3 linked regions of the Stegostoma tigrinum genome follow. The protein of the gene in region 2 purifies or fractionates together with the protein of the main gene of each other region. This does not show direct contact. Links are inferred from orthologs where the notes say so. Each region holds a gene or a part of one and is shown on either strand. Other genes may lie near its edges. The genes, in order: ibtk, pop7 and rpp40.

Region 1 (8,009 bases), on a different chromosome or scaffold from region 2:
CCCCTTATCAAGCCGTGTCCACTTATTTTACTCTCCCCAAAAGAAAATATCTGCCTGATATCTACTTGCCATTTTCTCTCAGAATAGTAAATAAAAAAACCAAAAAAAAAAAACTACTGGAAATCATGTACGGAAACAGAAGTTGCTGAAAAAGCTCAGCAGGTCTGGCAGTATCCGTGAATAAAAAAAATCCAGAGTTAATGTTTTGGGTCCAGTGATCTTTCCTCAGAACTGTTCTGACAAAGGGTCACCAGACCCAAAATGTTAACTCTGATGTTTTCTTTATTCACCGATGCTGGCAGACCTGTGGAGCTTTTCCAGCAACTTGTTTTTGTTCTCTCAGAATATTGGTTTAATAAGCAAGTCTTTCTGCTAAATTCTAATAGCTTTTATGCTCAAGCTGTCAACTTTTCCTAATAAGACAACCTCTTCATTCCAGGAATCATTGAACCTTCTCTGAACTGTTTCTAACACACTTTTTTTCCCCCAAATAAGGAAAGCAAAACTGTACAGTGTACCTCAGAAGTGACCTGACAAGGCTAGGTACAGCTGCAATAACACGACAAATGAACAAAAAACACTGGTCATAGAGTCCTACAGCACAGAGATGTGCCCTTCAGCCTAAACTGGTCCATGCTGACCAAAATATTCATCCACACTTACACCATTTCCTTGCACTTTGCCCATATCCTTCTGAACCTTTCCTATCCATGTATTCAGCAAATGCCTTTAAATGTTGTTAATGTACCCACTTCAACCTCTTCAGCTGGCAGCACATTCCATATGCCTACCATCCTGTGTGTAAAAGAAGTTGCCCCTCAGATTTTCACGTATTCTTTCCCCTGTTACCTGAAACTGATGCCCGTCAGTCCTCAATTTCCCAAGCCTGGGAAAAAGACCGAGTGCATTCACACTATCCATGCTTCTCATGATCTTGTACACTTCTATAAAAGGTGACCCTTCAGTCTCCTGTGCTCTGAAGAAAGACGTCCTGGCTTGTCCAATGTCTCCATATAACTCAGTCCCTTGAATCCTGGCAACATCCTTGTAAATTTCTTCTGCACTCTTTCCAGCTTAATAACGTCCTTCCTATAGCAAGGTGAACAAAACCGAACACAATACTCCAAGTGCAGCCTCACCAACACCCTGTATATCCCCACATAAAACTTCCCAACATCTATACTCAATGCCTTGACTGATAAAGACGATGTGCCAAAACCCTTTTTCACTGCCCTGTCTATCAGACTCCACTTTCAGAGAACTGTGCACCTGAACTCCAAAAGGTCCCTCGTTTCAATACACTCCTTAAGGCTCTACCATTCACCATGAAACTCCTACCTTGATTTGACTTTCCAAAAAGCAACACCTCATACTTATCAATATTAAACTCCATTTTCCATTTCTGAGCCCAGTTCTCCAGCTGATCAAGATCCTACTGCAATTTCTGATAACCTTCCTCACTGTCCACGATACAGCCTATTTTTGTGTCATTCGCAAACTTACTAATTATGCCTTGTACATTGTCATCCAAATCATTGATATAGATAAACTGCAATGGGCCTCCAGCCCGACAAGCATCCTTCCACTATTACTCTCTGCTTCCTACCATCAAGCCAATTGTATATCCAATTCACCAACTCTTCCTGGATTCCATGCGATCTAACCTTCCAGAGCAGCTACCGTATGGAACCTTATCAAAGGCCTTACTGAAATCCATACAGACCCATATCCGTCCCACCCTGCCCTCATCAACCTTCCTAGTCACTCCAAAGAGCTCTAACAATTCTGTAAAGCATGATCTCCCACACATGAGGCCATACTGACTACTCCCAGTCAAACCCTGCCTTTCTAAATTCATGTATATCTTATCCCCCAGAATCTTTTCAACTAATTTACCTACTACAGATTAAGCTTATTGGTCTATTAATTCCCAGTTTTTTTTCTTTGCAGCCCTTCTTGAATAAGGGCTGCAACATTCGCTACCCTCCAGTCTTCTGGGATGTCAACCATAGCTAACAATAGTGCAAATATATCAGCCAGGGCCCCCTACAATTTCTTCTCTAGCCTCTTGCAGAGATTTTAGATATATTTGCTAAGGACCAAGAGATTTATCCACCTTCATATACTTCCAACACCACCTCTGCTGTGATATGAGCTGCCCCCAAGATAATGCCACTAACTTCCCCAAGTTCCCAAATCATCTCACCTTTCTCCAAAGGAAACACAAGAGAAATATTCAATGATGACCACACCCATCTCCTGCAGTTCCATACATACAGGTTTTTAACTGATCTCTGCATAAATTGGCCAATGTGCAGACACTTGCCTTGTTTGGGTGACAGGAAGAAAGGCAGTGGTGAAGAATTGAATCTCCAGTGGCATTTTTATTTCTGATCACTACTCATGTTAGATTCCCATCTAACATACAGAAGTCTGTGTTCAAATAGGAAGGAGGCCAAGATATGGGAAAGATTTTGCCAAGGAGGTCGTCAGAAGAGAACTAACATTAAATGTTTTGGACTGGTAAAATCTGAACTGTAATTATAGAATTAACACGATTATTACAGTATCAAAACTCCAAGTACGTGTTGCATCGAAACGGAAACAGAACAAGCACTGCAGGCGGTCATATCTATACTAAAACACTCACAGTACTATCCTGTACCAGATCTTTAATCACAATCTCATACCATCAGAAGTTTCTGCAGCCTCGGCCCTGGCCGTAGACGTGGCACAAAGAAAAACACATGCAACATTCGCCCTGGGGAGTGAAGTCAGAAAGAGGAGGGAGAAGAGAGCAGAAAGGACCTGGTCTCCTGGCTCATTGTCCCCCCCGTGACCGGGTCTGCCAAGGGCTGGGCGGCGGAGGGAGGTGTGGGTGGCGGGGGAACAGGGGAAGAACTGTCTCCCTCAGGCCACACCAGCCCTGTTCCTTACCTGTCGCTAGATGAAACGGACACTGTAGAGGGAGAGAGTGGCGGTTGCTGGAGCAGGGAACGAGGACACGGTAACCATGATCACAGACGGCTCCGGCTGGAACTGAAATGTCAGCAATGAGCCGCACTCCCCAACATCATAAACTCCCATTGGCTATGGCTTCAAGGTTCCACTGCTGATTGGCTGTGCACGACACCAACAGTCTCCCTGGTTGCAGCCTGTCTCCAGGTGGAAACTGACAGTCTGGCAGTTTCTAATAATCTGAGTGACGGACAGTCTTGCTTTCTCTGACAGTCTGAGTGACGGACAGTCTGGCTGTCTATAAAGGTCTGAGTGAGGACAGTCTGTATGTCTCTAACAAGTGAGTGACAGATGGTCCGACTGTCTCTAACAGTCTGAGTGTGAGACCACCTGAGTGACTGACAGCCTGGCTGTATCTAACAGTCTGAGTGTATGACCGTCTGATTGTAACAGTCTGAATGACTGAGAGTTTGACTGTGACAGTCAGAGTGGCTGATAGTCTGGCTGTCACTAACAATCTGAGTGACAGCCAGAGTGGCTGACAATCTAGCTGTCACTACAGTCTGAATGACTGACAGTCTGGCTGTCTCTAACCATCTGAGTGAAAGTGACAGGCAGTCTGAGTGTCTAACAGGCTGTTTGAGTAGTTCACAATCTGAGTGACAACCTGAATGACTATTTCCAACAGTTTGCATGTTTTACAGTCTGAGTAACAGTGACAGATAGTCTAAGTAACTGACAGACTGAGTGTCAGACTGTCTGTCACAGTCACTGAGAATGCCTGAGTAACAGAGATGTAGGAAAGATGTTATTAAACATGAAAGGGTTCAGAAAAGATTTACAAGGATGTTGCCAAGGTTTGGAGGTGGTGGAAGCTGGTACAACTAGAATGTTTAAAAGGCATCTGGCTGGATATATGAATAGTAAGGGTTTAGAGGGATATGATCCAAATGCTGGCAAATGCGACTAGATTAATTTAGGATATCTGGTCAGCATGGAAAGGCTGGTCCGAAGGGTCTGTTTCCGTGCTGTACGTGTCTATGACTCCATGTATCTATACGGAGTGCATTAAATGCTTTAAAAAATATACTGTCGCATATAGACATTTCTATATGCTGCTGGGCCTGCTGTGTTCATCCAGCTTCATACTTTTTTATCTTGGATTCTCCAGCATCTACAGTTCCCATTATCACTCATTTCTATATTTTTATCCAGTTTTCGATAAAATGCATCCACATGAGGGATGTTTTGTCATCAAGTGTTTTTTTTTCCCTTTTCAGTTACAGATCCAGAAGAGTAGGAGTGTTGATACTTTTACTTCTCTGGGTCATGGACAGCTGAAAATACAGAGTGGCTAATTGATTGTCTGATCACACAGCATTATTATTCCACACTAAAACACATGGCTACCTTAATTTCAAATAGCCTTCAATTTCTCAGAAAACCTACATCCATTTGTCTCATAAATTGGTTCATTCCCTAAACAGATATAGATTTAGTTGGGAAGTGTTTCCAGTATGTTTTGTTTTATGTTATCCATTAACAAATAACAATGCCTCCTCACTTCTGTCACCTAAACTAGTATGAATATAAGGGGCCGAGGTAACAAATTTCAATATGTTTAAAATCTAGATATTGCACTTAGAAAATGTAATGTTAAAACACCACTCAGATCTCATTCAGAGTTTTTGGTTCAGTATTTGGCACCTTTGTCTGGGTTTAAGCAGGATTAAGAGGCCATTTAATCTCTCCTACTTCTATCTCTTGTTTATAAACTTCAAAAGAACATAGGCTGATGGAATGGCTGGACACAAGGTAAATAAAATGCAATAAAGTAAATTGTGAGTTGATACACATTTGCAGGAAGAATGAAGATAGATTGTACATAGAGATTTTACATGCTAAATGACACAATTTAACAGAAGTGAAAGAAGACAGAGATATAAGTGTGTTTGCACAAATCTCTGAAGGTGACAAGACAGGTCAACAAAGCAATGAACAAATTGTACAGGATCCTGGGCTATTAGTAAGAATGCAGAGTACAGAAATCAGAAGTTTAAGCCAAATTTATAGAAAGCACAAATAAAACACTAGTCCTCCTTAGTTGCAGGATTGTAACCTATTCTGGGCACCTCACTCAAGAAACTATGAAAAGGTTTCACCAAGAATATAAAAGACCAGGACTAGTCTAGCTCTGTGGATGAGAGATTCCAGTTATTTAACAAGACCAGAGAGGCTGGGGTTGTTCTCCTTTGAGCACAGAAGGCTAAGATGAAATTTAGATGTGTTTAAAAAACTAATGAATGTAAATAAGTAAGTAAAAAGAAATGTCTTTCAAATGGGTCAAAGATCAATCTTTTGAGATAAGTTATTTTTCGCAAAAGGACCAGCATTTTTACTGAACAAGTGGTTACAATTTTGAATGCACTGTGTAATGAAACACTGGAAACGGTCTAATCCGTAACCTTCACAAGATAATTTGATAAAAAAAACAGATGTTGTAGTAATATAGGGAAGGAGTGGAGAAGTGGAATTAACAAGATCACACCTTTGGTTACAAACCCCATACAGACTGACAGCTTTCATAAGATGGATTTCCCAACAACCAAAGGAAAGAACAGCAGGACAGGATTTCACCCTTTAAAATACTAACTGTAAAAATGCGAAGTAAAATCGACACAGATCAACAATTAACAGGCAATTAATATATCAAATTAATGAAAAAGCTAACTTTCACAATAACTAAGGAATGCAACTGAAGTATGTCTTATGAAACCTTTTTAACTACACAGAATAAAAACTGAAAGAACTATGGATGCTGTAAATCAGGAACAAAAACAGAAGTTGCTGGAAAAGCTCAGCAGGTCCGGCAGCATCTGTGAGGAAAAAATCAGATTCAACGTTTTGGGTCTGGTGAGGAGGAAGGGTCACTGGACCCGAAATGTTAACTTTCAAAGAAAAATGTCAAAGCTTTCTATGCTCGGTTTGAACAGAATGCCAGCAGTGCTGTGCCACCTGCCGTGATAGACCCAGACACACCTGTTCTCTTGGTCACTGCTGCAGACGTCAGATCGGTTTTCCTGGGAGTCAACCCAGGGAAAGCGATGGACCCAGCCAGTGTCTCTGGCTGTGCACTCAGATCCCGTTCAGACCAACTGGTGGAGGTATTCACTGACATCTTCCACCTCTCCCTCCTACAAACCGAAGTCCCTACCCACTTCAATAAGACCACCACCATCCCAGTACCTAAGAAAGTACATGCAATGTGCCTTAATGACTACTGCCCAATGGCTCTGATCTCAATAATCATAAAGTGCTTCGAGAGGCTGGTCATGGCCCACATCAACTCCAGTCTCCCAACCTGCCTCAATCCCTGACAGTTAGACTAACATGTAACAGGTCCCCAGTGGATTCTATATCCCTAGCTCTCCTCTCATTCCTGGAACATTTGGACAACAAGGACACCAATGTCAGACTTCTGCTCACTGACTACAGCTCCGCCTTCAACACCCATCATCCCCTCCAGGCTGATCTCGAAATTCCGCGACCTTGGTCTCGGCTCTGCCCTCTGCAATTGGATCCTCAGCTTCCTGACCCACAGACTGCAATCAGTGAGGATAGGTAACTGTACCTTCTCAACAATTACACTCGACACCAACCTCCCCCCCCCCCAAGGATACATCTTCAGCCCCCTACTCTACCCCCTGTACACCCACAGTGTGTTGCCAAATTCTGAATGAATGCCATCTACAAGTTCGCTGATGACATCACCGTAGGGGGACAGATATCTAATGATGACGAGTCAAAATACGGAAAGGACATAGATGGCTTGGTGATGTGGTGCAATAAGAACAACTTCACTCTCTCAATGTCGGCCAAACTAAAGAACCGATCATTGACTTCAAAAAGAAAGGAGGGTAATGTGCCAGCATCTACAGAAACAGAGCAGAGGTTGAGAGGATGAAGAGCATCAAGTTCTTCAGAGTGACAATGACCGATAACCTGTCCTGGACTTCCCACAGAGATGCGACAATCAAGAAGGCACAACAATGCCTCTTCTTCCTCAGACAGTTCAGCAAATTTGGTATATCCCTAAGGTCCCTCAGCAACTCCTACAGATGCACAATTAAAAGCATACTGTCCAGGTGCACAACAGCCTGGTATAGCAATTGCTCAGCCCAGGATTGTAGGAAACTACAGAAGGTGGTGTGCACAGCTCACACCATCATGGAAGTCAATCTTCCATCCACGGACTCCCGTTACAAGGCTCGCTGGCATGGAAAAGCTGCTAACATCATCAAAGACACACCGCACCCTGGTAATGATCTCCTACAACTACTTCCTTTCAGCAGAAGATACAAGACCTTGAATGCATGCACCAGCTGATTCAGGAACGGATTTTTCACTGTAACTATTAGACTGATGAATGGCGTCTCTAACCTCAAATAATTCCTGATCTTGTTGACATTGATCTCGCCCAGCACACGCCCTGTGCAATGTAACCTGTACGCCTCTGACTAAGTCTTTTTGGTCAAGTATCCTTGCTTACTACAATCTTCCTGTACCACTTGTAAACAAAACTTTTCACTGAGCTTTGGTACACATGACAATTAATCAATCAAAAAAAGAGTTCTTTGATCAATATCATCCTGCAATGGCCTTGGCACTCTGTCAGGACCACAATTTTATATAATACTTACTTCATTGCATATAGTTGCCCACCTGAATTTTGGATGAGATATATTTTATGCGGAAAGGCGTTAAGATGATGATGATGGTAAAGAAGACATAGGACTTGAGGGTGGCAAGGGCATAGCTTAGACTTGGAATCAATTGGAATCAATGCAGATCAAGAGATGATTGGCCTTTTGCAATGGATAGCACTTGGGTTTTAAAGTCAGCTCAGTTCAAAAGAAACAGATTTTAGTGATTTTTTTTACTACATTTTATTCAAAACCTATTTGATATTGTCCCGAAACATAATTAACAGTAATCCTGCAGCACTCTGAAAATACAGACAGTTAATTCTAAGAATTGTAAGTACCTTAAGG
Region 2 (8,022 bases):
TGGCACCTTCATATCTTTAGCAAAGCGACTGGGGACTTTAAAATGATAAGGGAGGGTGGACAGGGTGGATGTGAGGAAGGTGTTACTGCTTGTAGGTAAGCCATCAATATAAGACAGTTACTATTAAATCCGGGGAAGAATTCCACAGAAACCTCTTGATGCAGGCAGTGGGGAGAAGATGGAATTCACTCCCATAGCTGAAGCAAATAGTGTTGATGCTATGGGGAACCTAGGTATGAGGGAGAAGTATAGATGTAGGTACATTGATAGAGTGTGTTGAGAATCTATGGGAGCAGACTCATGTGGGACAGAGGTCTGATGTAGACTGAGTGAGGAGTAATGGACTAGTGGTAACATTACTGGAGAGCTTTAAGTTTAATGTTTTGATGGATAAAGTTCAAATCCCACATAGCAAGAATTTTAATTCAATTCATTATTGCAGGATAAGGCCAGCTCCTCCCTGGAATTTTCCCTGGAAGGGTCCCAGTGGCATTGTGGGAAGAATGGGAAGAGGCCGGTGCTGGGCAGGAGCAAGACAGTGCCCTGGATGACCACAGGGCTGGAAGGAGACACAGAAAGAGGAACTAAGATAAGTTAAAGATTAGACATGAGTTAGGAAGGATGGACTGGGAGCAATTGTTCCATGGTAAGGGCACTATAGACATGTGGAGACTGTTTAAGGAACAGTTGTTGCGAGTGATGAGTAAATATGTCCCTCTGAGACAGGCAAGAAGGGGTAAGATAAAGGAACCTTGGATGACGAGACCGGTGGAGCTTCTAGTGAAAAGGAAGAAGGTAGCTTGCATAAGGTGGAGGAAGCTAGGGTCAAGCTCAGCTAGAGAGGATTACACGCAGGCAAGGAAGGAGCTCAAAAATGGTCTGAGGAGAGCCAGGAGGGGGCACGAGAAAGGCTTGGCAGAAGGAATCCGGGAAAACACAACGGCATTTTACACTTATGTGAGGAATAAGAGAATGGTCAAAGAAAGAGTAGGGCCGATCAGGGATAGCATAGGGAACTTGTGTGTGGAGTCTGAGGAGGTAGGGGAAGCCCTAAATGAGTTTTTTGCTTCTGTCTTTACGAAAGAAACGAACTTTGTAGTGAATGAAACCTTTGAAGAGCAGGTGTGCATGCTGGAATGGATAGAGATAGAGGAAGCTGATGTGCTGAAAATTTTGTCAAACATTAAGATTGACAAGTCGCCAGGCCCGGACCAGATTTGTCCTCGGCTGCTTTGGAAAGCGAGAAATGCAATTGCTTCGCCACTTGCGAAGATCTTTGCATCCTTGCTCTCCACTGGAGTCGTACCTGAGGACTGGAGAGAGGCAAATGTAATTCCTCTCTTCAAGAAAGGAAATAGGGAAATCCCCAGCAATTACAGACGAGTAAGTCTCACGTCTGTCGTCTGCAAGGTGTTAGAAAGGATTCTGAGGGATAAGATTTATGACCATCTGGAAGAGCATGGCTTGATCAAATACAGTCAACACGGCTTTGTGAGGGGTAGGTCATGCTTCACAAACCTTATCGAGTTCTTTGAGGATGTGACTAGAAACGTTGATGAGGGTTGAGCTGTGGATGTGGTGTATATGGACTTCAGTAAGGCATTTGATAAGGTTCCCCATGGTAGGCTCATTCAGAAGGTCAGGAGGAATGGGATACAGGGGAACTTAGCTGCTTGGATGCAGAATTGGCTGGCCAACAGAAGACAGCGAGTGGTAGTAGAAGGAAAGTATTCTGCCTGGAAGTCAGTGGTGAGTGGGGTTCCACAGGGCTCTGTCTTTGGGCCTCTACTGTTTGTAATTTTTATTAATGACTTGGATGAGGGGATTGAAGGATGGGTCAGCAAGTTTGCAGATGACACGAATGTTGGAGGTGTCATTGACAGTATAGAGGGCTGTTGTAGGCTGCAGCGGGACATTGACAGAATGCAGAGATGGGCTGAGAGGTGGCAGATGGAGTTCAACCTGGATAAATGCGAGGTGATGCATTTTGGAAGGTCGAATTTGAAAGCTGAGTACAGGATTAAGGATAGGATTCTTGGCAGTGTGGAGGAACAGAGGGATCTTGGTGTGCAGATACATAGATCCCTTAAAATGGCCACCCAAGTAGACAGGGTTGTTAGAAAGCGCATGGTGTTTTGGCTTTCATTAACAGGGGGACTGAGTTTAAGAGTCGTGAGATCTTGTTGCAGCTCTATAAAACTTTGGTTAGACTGCACTTGGAATACTGCATCCAGTTCTGGTCGCCCTATTATAGGAAAGATGTTGATGCTTTGGAGAGGGTTCAGAGGAGGTTTACCAGGATGCTGCCTGGGCTGGAGGGCTTATCTTATGAAGAGACGTTGACTGAGCTCGGTCTCTTTTCATTGGAGAAAAGGAGGAGGAGAGGGGACCTAATTGAGGTATACAAGATAATGAGAGGCATAGATAGAGTTGATAGCCAGAGAGACTATTTCCCAGGGAAGAAACGGCTAACACGAGGGGTCATAGTTTTAAGCTGGGTGGTGGAAAGTATAGAGCGGATGTCAGAGGCTGGTTCTTTACACAGAGAGTTGTGAGAGCTTGGAATGCGTTGCCAGCAGCAGTTGTGGAAGCAAGGTCATTGGGGTCATTTAAGAGACTGCTGGACATGCATATGGTCACAGAAATTTGAGGGTGCATACATGAGGATCAATGGTCGGCACAACATTGTGGGCTGAAGGGCCTGTTCTGTGCTGTACTGTTCTATGTTCTATGTTCTATGATATAAAGATACCCTTACTGATGATGACTGTGACAGCTATCGTCAGTTGTCAAAAAATCCACTAGTTCACAACATCCTTAAGGGAAGAAAATCTGCCATTTTTACCTCTGCCGGCCTACATGTGACTCCAGACCCATGCACCAACTGAAATGGCGTAGCAAGGCACCCAGTTCAAGGACAACAAGTATGCAGCAACAACAGTGATGCCTGTGAAAGAATGTGTATTTTAAAACATTTCTGAAGAAGGGTCTCGACCCGAAACGTCAAACTTTCCTGCTCCTCTGATACTGCTTGGCCTGCTGCGTTAATCCAGCTTCACACCGTGTTATGTCAGATTCTCCAGCATCGGCAGTTCCTACTGTCTCTATTTTAAAACAACGGAGGCGTTTCTGCGCTGGAAATATGTTTGTTGTGCACATTCACTTGCATCCACTACCACTGGGGGCCATTAGGGTGTGCTGCAGATTCAATACAGACCCACAAGGTCTCCAGGATTTGAGATTGTGCCTTGAAATCTAAGTCCAAGCAGTGCCTTGTGCAGTGTGTAAGAAAGAATCCCTGCCAGTCACAGATGGAATCGGCTCTCTGGAGGTGATTCGGCTTCACAGAACTGACGTAATTCATTTTGCAACAGTGACAAGGGCAAAACAAGCCATTCGATCCATCAACTCTGTCTTCATTCTGATTGCATTTATCGGCCCCATAGGTTGCACAAGCATGGCGATATAGATGGAGGACATTCGGGCAATGTAGATTGTTCCAGTCAGTCACACTCTCCATGCTTTCAAACTTTTCACTTTGTCTCAGCGGGAGCTTGAAGGTCCCAACATTCCATGAAAAATCAAGGCTGACATCCCAGTATGATTCCAAGGGAGTGCTGCAATGTTAGTGGTGATTTCTTTTGATTGAGACATTGAAAACTCAGGCCCCAGCTGCTGTCTTAGATGGGCATCATGTGGGGTGTCGCAGCCCCACCAGACAAACAACCGGGATCAAGGCTGGTTCTAACCTGGGGGACCCCATCTCACATTGCGGTCCCAGTTCACTGGGAGGGGAGGGTACCTTGATGTGACCATGATACCACATATCATGAGGTCACATCAATCTAGGAGAACTGCAATCGGAAAGTCAGTGAATGGGGAAGAGAGGTCATGTTGCAATTAGGGAGTTGGAGTGGAAGGGTTAGTGCTCAGAAGAGGTCCCTGTTCAGAACTCCTCATTAGTAACGTGTTCCTCTTATGTGGAACTGAGTAGCGAGGCCGAGTAGGTACCAAAATTGACATTTTATACAATAGTTTAAAAACATAAGCTTTCATACATGTTTATCTTTAATGCAAACATTAATTATTAAAATGTTGAATACAATCATCCTGCTTTCAATTTAGGTGGTGTCGGGGTCATACTTTGAGATGCTATAAGGTGTAAGATCCCATGGGCATGGTGGACCGCATAGTAGCTCAGTGGTTAGCTCTTCTGCCTCCCACTGCCAGGGACCCAGGTTTGGCTCCATTTTTGGGTGACTGTCTGTGTGAAGTTTGCATGTTATCCTCATGTCTGCACAGGTTTCCTCTGGGTGTTCTGGTTTCATCTCACAGTCCAAAGATGTATAGGTTAGGTTGGTTGGCCATACTAAATTGCCCATGGTGTCCAGGGATGTGCAGGTTAGGTGGATTAGCCATGGGAAATACAGGGATAGGGTACGGAGGTGAGTCTGAGTGGGATGCTTTTTGGAGGGTCAGTGTGGACTTGGTAGACCAAATGGCTTGCTTCACACTGTGGGAATTCTATGATTTCGAACAGCAGCAGAGGAGTGATACCTGGTGTGCTGACCAATGTCTGTCAGTAGCATGAAGAATGTATTGTCTAGCCTTTATTAGATTCCTTTTTTAGGGATCATGCTGTGCATTCATTGGCTGCCGTGTTTACTTTACAACAGTGACTGTACTTGGAGAGCACCTGTAAGGCACTTGCCCGGTGTTTCTGAAAGTTTCCACAGGAAAGCAACTCTTCTCAAAATCCTGTCCCATAAACCAGTGAAATAAGTCTACTTTTTGTAAATTTGATTGTGCCTGAGACTTTTATCCTATTCATTTATGAGATAAGGACATTACTAGCTACACCAGCACTTGAGGCCCATCCCTATTTGCCCTGGAGAAGGTGGTGATGAGATGCTTTCTTGAGCGACTACAGTCTATGTGGTGTAGGTACTCCCACAGTGCTGTTAGGGAGGGAATCTCAGGGGTCTATCCAGCATCTGTGAAGGAATTGTGAGATAATTTCAGGTGTGCGGCTTGGACAGACTGCTCTGAGACAAAACTGTCCCTACTCTGAGTTTGCTACATTTCAGTCTCTACTTCATCTATGACTGACTATTGCCCAATTCTCTGGAGTTCCAATAAGCATTTTTATCTGGATACTGTTGTAGAAAATACTGCTCTGTAGTGCGGTTCCTCCCTTTCTCTTTTCTCAGAGTCTCCACAGCACATGACTACTGATGTCAGTATTACATCGTACAATACATTAGCACATGGAACACAGAAACTAGGAGGAAGAGTAGGCTAATTAGCTCAGAGAATTTTTGGCACAGAATTCCACAGGTTCATCATCCTCTAAATGAAGAAATTTCTCCTCATTTCAATCTTAAATAGCCTAGTTGGAATCCTGAGTCTGTGACCCCTTGTTCTGGAGCCCCTAGTCAGGGGGAACATCATCTCTGTATCCATTCTATCCAGCCCTGTCAGAATTTTATATGTGTTAATGAGATCGTCTCTTGTTCTTCTGAACTCCAGAGAATACAATATCCCAATCTCTTCTCAAAAAACAAGTCTGTTGAACCGTTGTTGTACTCCCTGTATGGTAAGTACATTCTTTATTAGGTAAGGAGACCAAAATTGCATACAATAATCCAGGCACGGTCTCACCCAAGCACTGTACAGCTGCAGTGAGACATTCTTGCTTTTGGATTCCAATCTGTTGTATCATAGAATCCCTACAATATGGAGGCCGGCCATTCAGCTTATTGAGTCCATGCCAACCTGCCAAAGAGCATCCCATTCAGACCCACATGCCCTACCAAATCCCTGTAACTCCATGTTTGCCATTGACTAATTCACCTAGCCTGCACATCTCTGGACACTGTGCGCAATTTAACACAGCCAATCCACTTAACCTGCACATCTTTGGACTGTGGGAGGAAACCAGAGCACCTGGAAGTAACCCAAACAGACACAGATAGAAGGTACAAACTCTACACAGACAGTTGCCTGAGGGTGGAATTGAACCCTAGTCTCCTGTACTGTGAGGCAACAGTGCTAACCACGAAGCCATGGTGCTGCCCATTGTGAATGAAGGTCAACATACCATTTGCCTTCCTAAGTGCTTGTGGCACCTGTATGTTTGCCTTCAATGACTGGTATACAAGGGCACCTAAGTCCCTTTATCAATCAATACTTCCCAATCTGAAATAACTGCTCAGAGACTGGGTCCTGTCACTAAGTCACCCCTTGTTTACTAATTCACAGTCAATCCTCAACTGAGGAGATTCTAATCTCCTGGTTATTTTAATCAGCCAAGGCTTTATAGGTTAACAACGCCAATCAATGATCTCTTGGTCAATGAGGTCCACTTGGTCCCAACCACTCCCACCTCCCCCACCATCCCCGCACCCCATCCCCCCGCCCCACACACACACACACACACACACACACACACACACACACACACACACACACACACATACACAAAACTCAAGTCCAGGAATGTAGGACTGGTCTGCCACTTGCAGCTTCTCTTGCAATGTTCCTCTGGTTCCTCTGACTTGGACTTGGACCCAGGCAGCATGTACCGGACCAGGGCCCGTCTCTTCAATCCGGGACATCTCGGAACAGTCTCTATCTCTTCTTCTGGTGGCAAGTATTGAGGCTGCTTCTATTTCGAACTCTGGGGTTTCCTCAACGCTAGACAAAGGGGGAGAACCTGCAGTTTCTGCCAGGCCTTATGGCTGTTCAGAGGAGCCAGGTATGTTTTGCTCCTGCCCTGTTTAAAAGATAACAGCTTTCAGGTGATCCACGTGTTTGTTCAAGACTATAACGCCTACACAAACTTGACCTGACCTCACATCAACCTCGCCTTGTACCCATACAGGGCCATTTCCATGGTTCTGACACCAAACCTCATTCCGTAAATGAAGTTGTCTCTCTCACTTAGAGGCAGCATGTGGCCAGCATTGACGTTCCTGCTGCCATTTCACCCTGCCCCCTATGTCTGGAAATATCAGGTTCAAGCCTGGTGGGGAGTCTTCTCCACATCAGCAACTCTGCTGGAGCTATCCCTGCTGTTGCATGTGGGGTTGTCCTATAGTTGTATAGGAACCGGGACAGTGTGGTATCAGCTGACGTTGTAGGCTGCTTGTTTAAGCCTGCCTTCAATGTTTGGACCGCTCTTTCCTCTAGGCCATTAGGCAATGGATGCTATGGAGCTGTCCATGTGTGCCGAATGCCACTGAACTTCAGGATATGTTCAGATTTCCTGCCAGTGAGTGACACCCCGTTGTCCGTGACCAATACTTCTGGGACTCCATGTATCGCAAATGATGCTCGCAGTTTCTCAATTATCATCCCCAAGTTTGCTGAATGAACTTTATGCATGTCCAACCACTTTGGATGGGTGCCCACAATGACCAGGAACATTGAGCCGAAGAAAGGACCGAAATAGTTGATATACAACCGAGTCCAGGGTTTAGCCAGCCATTCCTATGCATATGGTGTGCTGCTGGTGGCAATTTTTGTCCTTGTTGGCACTCTGGACACTGCTCCACCAATGTAGCTATGTCATCATCCAGCCCTGGCCACCAGACATAGCTTCTTGCCAGCATCTCCATCTTGGAAAACCCTGGGTGACTCTGGTAGAGGTCAGCCAGCATCTGGCAGCGATCTTAGTTCCCTGTTTTCTCCTAGCGTGCATCTTTAAACAGTAGACTTACTCCCTGTGGAGTTAGGGTGGCATGGTGGCTTGGTGGTTAGCACTGGTGCCTCCCAGCGCCAGCAACATGAGTTCAATTGCACTTTCGGGCAACTGTCTGTGTGGAGTTTGCACTTTTTTCCCCACGTCTGCGTGGGTTTCCTCTGGTTTCCTCCTACAGTCCAAAAATGTGCAGATTAGGTGGACTGGCCAGGCTAAATTGCCCACAGTGTCTAAGGATGTACAGGCTAAGTGGATTGGCAGTGGGAAATGCAGAAATAGTGTAAAGGGGTGGATCTGGGTGGGATGCTCTTCAGAGGGTT
Region 3 (6,935 bases), on a different chromosome or scaffold from region 2:
CATAAATTACAGATATAACATTACCTTGCTTCACAAATTTGTTGATGAAGTCAGGTTCAAGCATTCGATGAAGTGGCAACTGCTTTACCAAATAATACTCTCCTAAATTTCTGCAGGCAGCAGTAACTCCTGGTGGTATCACTCCACATTCTGGTATCAAAATTGAGACCTGCAAGAAAATATTTAAACAGCTACAAAAGAAGTTCAACAAAAATAAGATGTAAAATCCATCAATGTGGGTAATATTTTCATAAGGGAAAAGTAAAGTTGCCATAGTCTCAGAGGGCCACAGGATTGCTTTCTCATTAGAGAGAATGACTGATGGTGAGTTTAACCTTAGGGTCACCATGCTTCAGGTGAGGTGCAAGGCTAAGAAGGCACGATCAAGTGGTAACCTCAGCCAATGTGGTAACTGAACATGTATTGTGTAATTCTGCATCGCAAATCAGCCAGCTAGCCAGCTGAGCTTACCACAAAGGACTCTCTTTTTCAACCTCTTCGGCCCATCTCAGGTGTGGTGACCCCCAGGTTAAACCACCACCAGTCATCTCTCTCTAACGACACAGCAGCCCTCTCATCCATTTGGACTATGGCATCTTTACCTTTTAAAAACTACAACAGTTGGCCATCAACCATTATAGCTTGTTGAAGATATTCATCTCTAAAACAAATAAAACCCTAAAAAAAGTTACACAAGGTTTGCCATTGCTTTCATATCAAAATCGTTGACTGTAAAAGCAAGACACTCAATGCAGCCAACTTAGCAAATGCATTACAACATTGAACCCCATTGAACAGGTGTTACTTGGAGCTTCTAATGATGTTGCTAAGTAATTCCCACTGGGGGCACTTACTATTCAATTGCTACCTTTAACATTTGTCATTTCTGAACATCAAAAACACACACAAACATGAAAAAATGCACAAACACAATGCCATTTTCGTTTACAGTGAATTTAACTGCTGACGGAAGTGGTTCTGAAATAGTAAAACAGCACAAGCATTCCAGCCCTGATTGCCCATTTCTTGTACTGTTCCATTCTGTTAAAAAGGTGGTATATAAATACAAATTCACTTGTTGCTGTTTCAGCCTTCAATATTATGGCACTAACAGAAAAGAGAGAAAGAGAGTTTCTATTTCGGGTCAAAGATATTTCTTTGGAGCTTCATTGGTCCAGACAACCTGGACTCTTTCCTACATAAAAAGGTTTAAAATAATCACGAAACCATACAGGAGACAATCCAAGTGAAGCATTGTTGGTAACTAACTAAAACACAATGGGCACCTCCATTTTTTCTACCATTTAGCTGAAGATTTATTAACTGTACCCCTGTCAAACACAGACGTGGGCAGTTATAGACTTAAAGTTATAGAGTTATACAGCACTGAAACAGACCCTTTAGTCCATGCCGACTATAATCCCAACTAAACTAGTCCCACTTGCCTGCACTTGGCCCATATCTCTCCAAGCATTTCTTATTCACATATTTATCTAAATATTTCTTAATCGTAACTATACCCACATCCACAATCTCCTCGGAAGTTCATTCAACACACGAACCACTCTCTGTGAAACAAAATTGCCCCTCATGTCTTTTTTAAATCCTTCTCCTCTCACCTTAAGAATGTGCCCCTAGTCCTGAAACCGCCCACCCTACAGAAAAGACACCTGCTATTCACCTTATCTACTCCCTTCATGATCTTATAAAACTCTTTAAATGTCACCTCTCAACCTTCTATGCCCCAGTGAGAAATGTATCCAGCCTCTCCTTACAACTCAAACCCTCCATTCTCAGCAACATTCTGGTAAATCTCTTTCGAACACTTTCCAGCTTAATAATATCCTTCCTATAACAGGGAGACCTGAACTGAACACAGTACTCTAGAAGAGCCTTCGCCAACATCCTGTACAACCTCAACATAACATCACAACTCCTATACTCACAGATCTAAGCAATGAATGCAATCAGAAATGAAGAGGGTCCCGACCCGAAACTTCAAACTTTCCTGCTCCTCTGATGCTGCTTGGCCTGCTGTGTTCATGCAGCTTCACACCATGTTATCTCAGATTCTCCAGGATCAGCAGTTCCTACTATCTCTGTAACAATTTTAACCCTGCTGCGAAACCTCTTCTAAGGATGCCTTCCTTAAAGAAGCTACTGTACTCTGTCCGAAACATTTCTGAAGCAGTTTCCCAACCAAAACGTCAAGTTTTCCTGTTCCTCTAGGGCTGCTTGGCCTGCTGTGTTCATCCAGCTTCACACCGTGTTATCTCCTATTTTAATTGTATAAGTTTTGTGTTTGTTTGTTTTACCAAAATACAATACATGCAGTTATCCAAATTAAACCCCATTTGACACTCTTCTGCCCATCGAATGAACTGATCAAGATCTCTTTGTAATTTTAGACAGCCTTCTTCAGTGTCGACTATACCACCAATCTTGGTTTCATCTGCAGCTTACTAGCCGTGCTTTCTATATTGTCATCTAAATGATTTATATAAATGATAAGCAGAAGTGGACCTAGCACCGATGTTCCGTTAGAATAAAAGGGAAAGTAATGAGTTCTCCGCTCCCTGTCAATTACCCACCTGGTAGTCATGGCGATCAGACTCCACCCCCTGTCAATCACCCATCAGATAAACATGGCGATTAATCTCCGCCCCCTGTCAATCACCCATCAAAGAAGCATGACGATTAGCCTCCGCCCACTGTCAATCTCCCACCAGGTAGTCATAAAGTTTTCCTGCCCCTGTCAATCACCCACCTGGTAGTTATAGTGATGAGCCTGCACGTGTTTATGGTGTTTTGATTTACTGTGCCTGAAGTTGGATCTTTCACTAACCACTAGGTGCCGCGCGCATTTCTCCACGTTGTGCAGCATCTTCCCAAACTGGGCCACAGCTCCTCGCGCCGTCCGCGAGGGCCGTTTACCGCTTCTCCCCTCGGCAACAGCTCCACGCGCCAGTTAACGACTTTCCCCACTCAGAACCTCTCCGCTTCTTCCCGTCGTCCGCGAGCTCTGGCGCTCCCTTTGGCGCCTCTGGAGAGGAGGGCAGAGTGCACCCTCTGCTGGTTGGAGGCCAAGGTGGAAGAAGAGCCGCGTTTGAATGTTCAGGGCCTGTCTCAAGTCAACACTCGCATTCCCAAAGTAAGAATTGAACCTTTTCATGATCAATGGGCTGAGCCCTGTTTTTCTTAAACAGTTTAGAACCCATTCATTTTCCAGCATGGTTATTGGTAGCAATCAGGACAAGGTACCGAGGTAATTGGCCAATTTTAGTCAAATGTATTCCCCAAGGATCAATCTATTCTGTCAGCTAACTGCTCCATCCTCCAGGCCTCCCCCTTTCTCTTCACTACCCAGTCGAATAATTCTCGACTGTCAGGACAAAGAGCCATTTGTTTCCCACCACCAATGTTTTTCTGACTCGTAAACAGAGGTGCCCGTGAAAAGATTGCCCACAGCCATGTCCTGGGGATGAATCTTCAGTTAGAAACGGGCGTGCTCCAGCATTTAATACAATTCAAACACTTGTCTGCCTTTCACCCACAGACTATTCTCAAAATCCTTCGCACCCCTGGTAGTTAGAAATCTATCAATCTCTACCTTAACCATAGTCAAAGACTGAGCTTCCACAGCATCAAAAAATTCCAGTAACAAACACAGTCACAATCACGGGGTGGCACGATGGCTCAATGTTTGGCACTGCTGCCTCACAGCACCAGGGTCCCGGGTTTGATTCCAGCCTCAGGCGACTGTCTGTGTGGAGTTTGCACATTCTCCCTGTGTCTGCGTGGGTTTCCTCCAAATGCCCACAGTCCAAAGATGTGCAGGCTAGGTGGGTTGGCCATGCTAAATTGCCCATAGCGTTCAGGGATGTGCAAAATCAGGGGGGTTACAGGGTGATGGGTCTGGTTGGAATGCTGTTTAGAGGAGTGGTATGGATGTGTTGGGCTGAATGTCCTGTTTCTGTACTGTAGGGATTCTATTGAATCATCTGAATAGAGTCAGAGAGATGTACAGCACAGAAACCGTCAGTCCAACTCATCCATGCCAACCAGATATCCTAAATTAATCTAGTATTGTTAGGCCCATATCCCTGTAAACCCTTCCTATTCATCTCCCCATCCAGATGTCTTCTAAATGTTGTAAATGTACCATCCTCCACCACTTAATCTGGCAGCTCATTCCATACACACACCACCCTCTGAGAAAAACTTGCCCTTTTGGTCTCTTTTAAATCTTTCCCCTCTCACCTTAAACTTATGTCCTCTAATTTTGAACTCCCCACACTGGGAAAAAGACCTTGCCTACTCACCCCATCTATGCCCCTCATAATTTTCTAAGCCTCTATAAAGGTCACCTCTCAGCCTCCGACACTCCAGGGAAAATAGCCCCAGTCTATTTGGCCTTTCACTTTAGCTCAAAGCCTCCAACCCTAGCCACATCCTTGTAAATCTTTTCTGAACTGTTTCAAGTTTTCCAACATCTTCCCTATAGTCGAGAAATTGAATGCAGTATTCCAAAAGTGGCCGAACCAATGTCCTGTACAGCCACAACATGACTCTCCCAACTGATCAGTAAAGGCAAGCAAAGTTCTGAGGAAGGGTCACTCTGATTTTTTCTTCACAGATACTTCCAGACCTGCTGAGCTTTTCCAGCAACTTCTGTTTTTGTCCCTGATTTACAGTATCCACAGTTCTTTCAGTTTTCATACCATACGCCTTCCTTACCATCCTGTCTACCTATTACTCTACTTTCAAGGAACTATGAACCAGCACTCCAAGGTCTCTTTGTTCAGTAATGCCCTCCAGGACCTAACCATTAAGTATGTAAGTCCTGCCCTGATTTGCCTTTCCAAATGCAGTCCACATTTGTCTAAATTAAACTCCATCTACCATTCCTCCACCTATTTATCTGTCTGATTTGTCCCCTTCGTACTCTGAGGTAATGTTCTTCGCTGTCCACTACACCTCCAATTTTGGTGTCATCTGCGAACTTACTAACAATATGTTCACATCCAAATCATTTATATAAATGACGAACAGCAGTGGACCCAGCACTGATTCTTGTGGAACACAGCTGGTCACAGGCCTCAAGTCTGAATTGCAACCCTCCACCACCACCCTCTGTCTTCTACCTTTGAGTCAGTTCTGTATCCAAACTGCTAGTTTTCCCTTTATGCCATGTGATCTAACCTTGCTAACTAGTTTACCATGATGAATCTCATTGAACACCTTACTGAATCCATATAGATCATATCCACCACTCTGCCTTCATTAGACCTCTGTGACATCTACAAAAACTCAATTAAGTTAGTGAGACATGATTTCCCATGCTCAAAGCCATGTGGACTATCCCTAATCAGTCCTTGCCTTTCCAAATACATGTAAATCCTGTCCCTCAGGATCCTCTACAACATCTGCCCACCACTGATGTCAGGCTAATAAAATGTGAGGCTGGATGAACACAGCAGGCCCAGCAGTATCTCAGGAGCACAAAAGCTGACGTTTCGGGCCTAGACCCTTCATCAGAGAGGGGGATGGGGTAAGGGTTCTGGAATAAATAGGGAGAGAGGGGGAGGCGGACCGAAGATGGAGAGAAAAGAAGATAGGTGGAGAGGAGAGTATAGGTGGAGACGTAGGGAGGGGATAGGTCAGTCCAGGGAAGACGGACAGGTCAAGGAGGTGGGATGAGGTTAGGAGGTAGGAGATGGAGGTGCGGCTTGGGGTGGGAGGAAGCGATGGGTGAGAGGAAGAACAGGTTAGGGAGGCAGAGACAGGTTGGACTGGTTTTGGGATGCAGTGGGTGGAGGGGAAGAGCTGGGCTCGTTGTGTGGTGCAGTGGGGGGAGGGGATGAACTGGGCTGGTTTTGGGATGCGGTGGGGGAAGGGGAGATTTTGAAGCTGGTGAAGTCCACATTGATACCATTGGGCTGCAGGGTTCCCAAGTGGAATATGAGTTGCTGTTCCTGCAACCTTCGGGTGGCATCGTTGTGGCACTGCAGGAGGCCCATGATGGACATGTCATCTAAAGAATGGGAGGGGGAGTGGAAATGGTTTGCGACTGGGAGGTGCAGTTGTTTATTGCGAACCGAGTGGAGGTGTTCTGCAAAGCGGTCCCCAAGCCTCCGCTTGGTTTCCCCAATGTAGAGGAAGCCACACCGGATACAGTGGATGCAGTATACCACATTGGCAGATGTGCAGGTGAACCTCTGCTTAATGTGGAAAGTCATCTTGGGGCCTGGGATAGGGGTGAGAGAGGAGGTGTGGGGGCAAGTATAGCATTTCCTGCGGTTGCAGGGGAAGGTGCCGGGTGTGGTGTGGTTGGAGGGCAGTGTGGAGCGAACAAGGGAGTCATGGAGAGAGTGGTCTCTCCGGAAAGCAGACAGGGGTGGGGATGGAAAAATGTCTTGGGTGGTGGGGTCGGATTGTAGATGGCGGAAGTGTCGGAGGATGATGCATTGTATCCGGAGGTTGGTGGGGTGGTGTGTGAGAACGAGGGGGATCCTCTTTGGGCGGCTGTGGCTGTGGCGGGGGCGGGGTGTGAGGGATGTGTTGCGGGGAATGCGGGAGACGCGGTCAAGGGCGTTCTCGACCACTGTGGGGTGGAAGTTGCGGTCCTTGAAGAACTTGGACATCTGGGATGTGCGGGAGTGGAATGCCTCATCGTGGGAGCAGATGCGGCGGAGGAATTGGGAATAGGGGATGGAATTTTTGCAGGAGGGTGGGTGGGAGGAGGTGTATTCTAGGTAGCTGTGGGAGTCGGTGGGCTTGAAATGGACATCAGTTACAAGCTGGTTGCCTGAGATGGAGACTGAGAGATCCAGGAAGGTGAGGGATGCGCTGGAGATGGCCCAGGTGAACTGAAGGTTGGGGTGGAAGGTGTTGGTGAAGTGGATGAACTGTTCGAGCTCACTGGTCTATAATTC

What was found.
Region 1: the proteins of pop7 (region 2) and ibtk purify together in Homo sapiens (affinity purification with mass spectrometry; 3 studies listed by BioGRID and IntAct, with this or other methods). This does not show direct contact. The link is inferred for Stegostoma tigrinum from reciprocal best matches to the Homo sapiens genes POP7 and IBTK.
Region 3: the proteins of pop7 (region 2) and rpp40 purify together in Homo sapiens (co-immunoprecipitation; 4 studies listed by BioGRID and IntAct, with this or other methods). This does not show direct contact. The link is inferred for Stegostoma tigrinum from reciprocal best matches to the Homo sapiens genes POP7 and RPP40.

The regions. Positions count from the first base shown.
Region 1 is NC_081357.1:38,714,705-38,722,713, forward strand, and holds the start of ibtk (inhibitor of Bruton tyrosine kinase), read right to left. Parts: upstream 3,056-8,009; 5' UTR 2,938-3,055; intron 1-2,937. UniProt on the Homo sapiens protein: Acts as an inhibitor of BTK tyrosine kinase activity, thereby playing a role in B-cell development. Down-regulates BTK kinase activity, leading to interference with BTK-mediated calcium mobilization and NF-kappa-B-driven transcription.
Region 2 is NC_081398.1:7,834,129-7,842,150, forward strand, and holds the start of pop7 (ribonuclease P protein subunit p20), read right to left. Parts: upstream 3,081-8,022; 5' UTR 2,846-3,080; intron 1-2,845. UniProt on the Homo sapiens protein: Component of ribonuclease P, a ribonucleoprotein complex that generates mature tRNA molecules by cleaving their 5'-ends. Also a component of the MRP ribonuclease complex, which cleaves pre-rRNA sequences.
Region 3 is NC_081355.1:11,661,601-11,668,535, reverse strand, and holds the start of rpp40 (ribonuclease P protein subunit p40), read right to left. Parts: upstream 3,039-6,935; 5' UTR 2,885-3,038; coding exon 2,768-2,884; intron 170-2,767; coding exon 25-169; intron 1-24. UniProt on the Homo sapiens protein: Component of ribonuclease P, a ribonucleoprotein complex that generates mature tRNA molecules by cleaving their 5'-ends. Also a component of the MRP ribonuclease complex, which cleaves pre-rRNA sequences.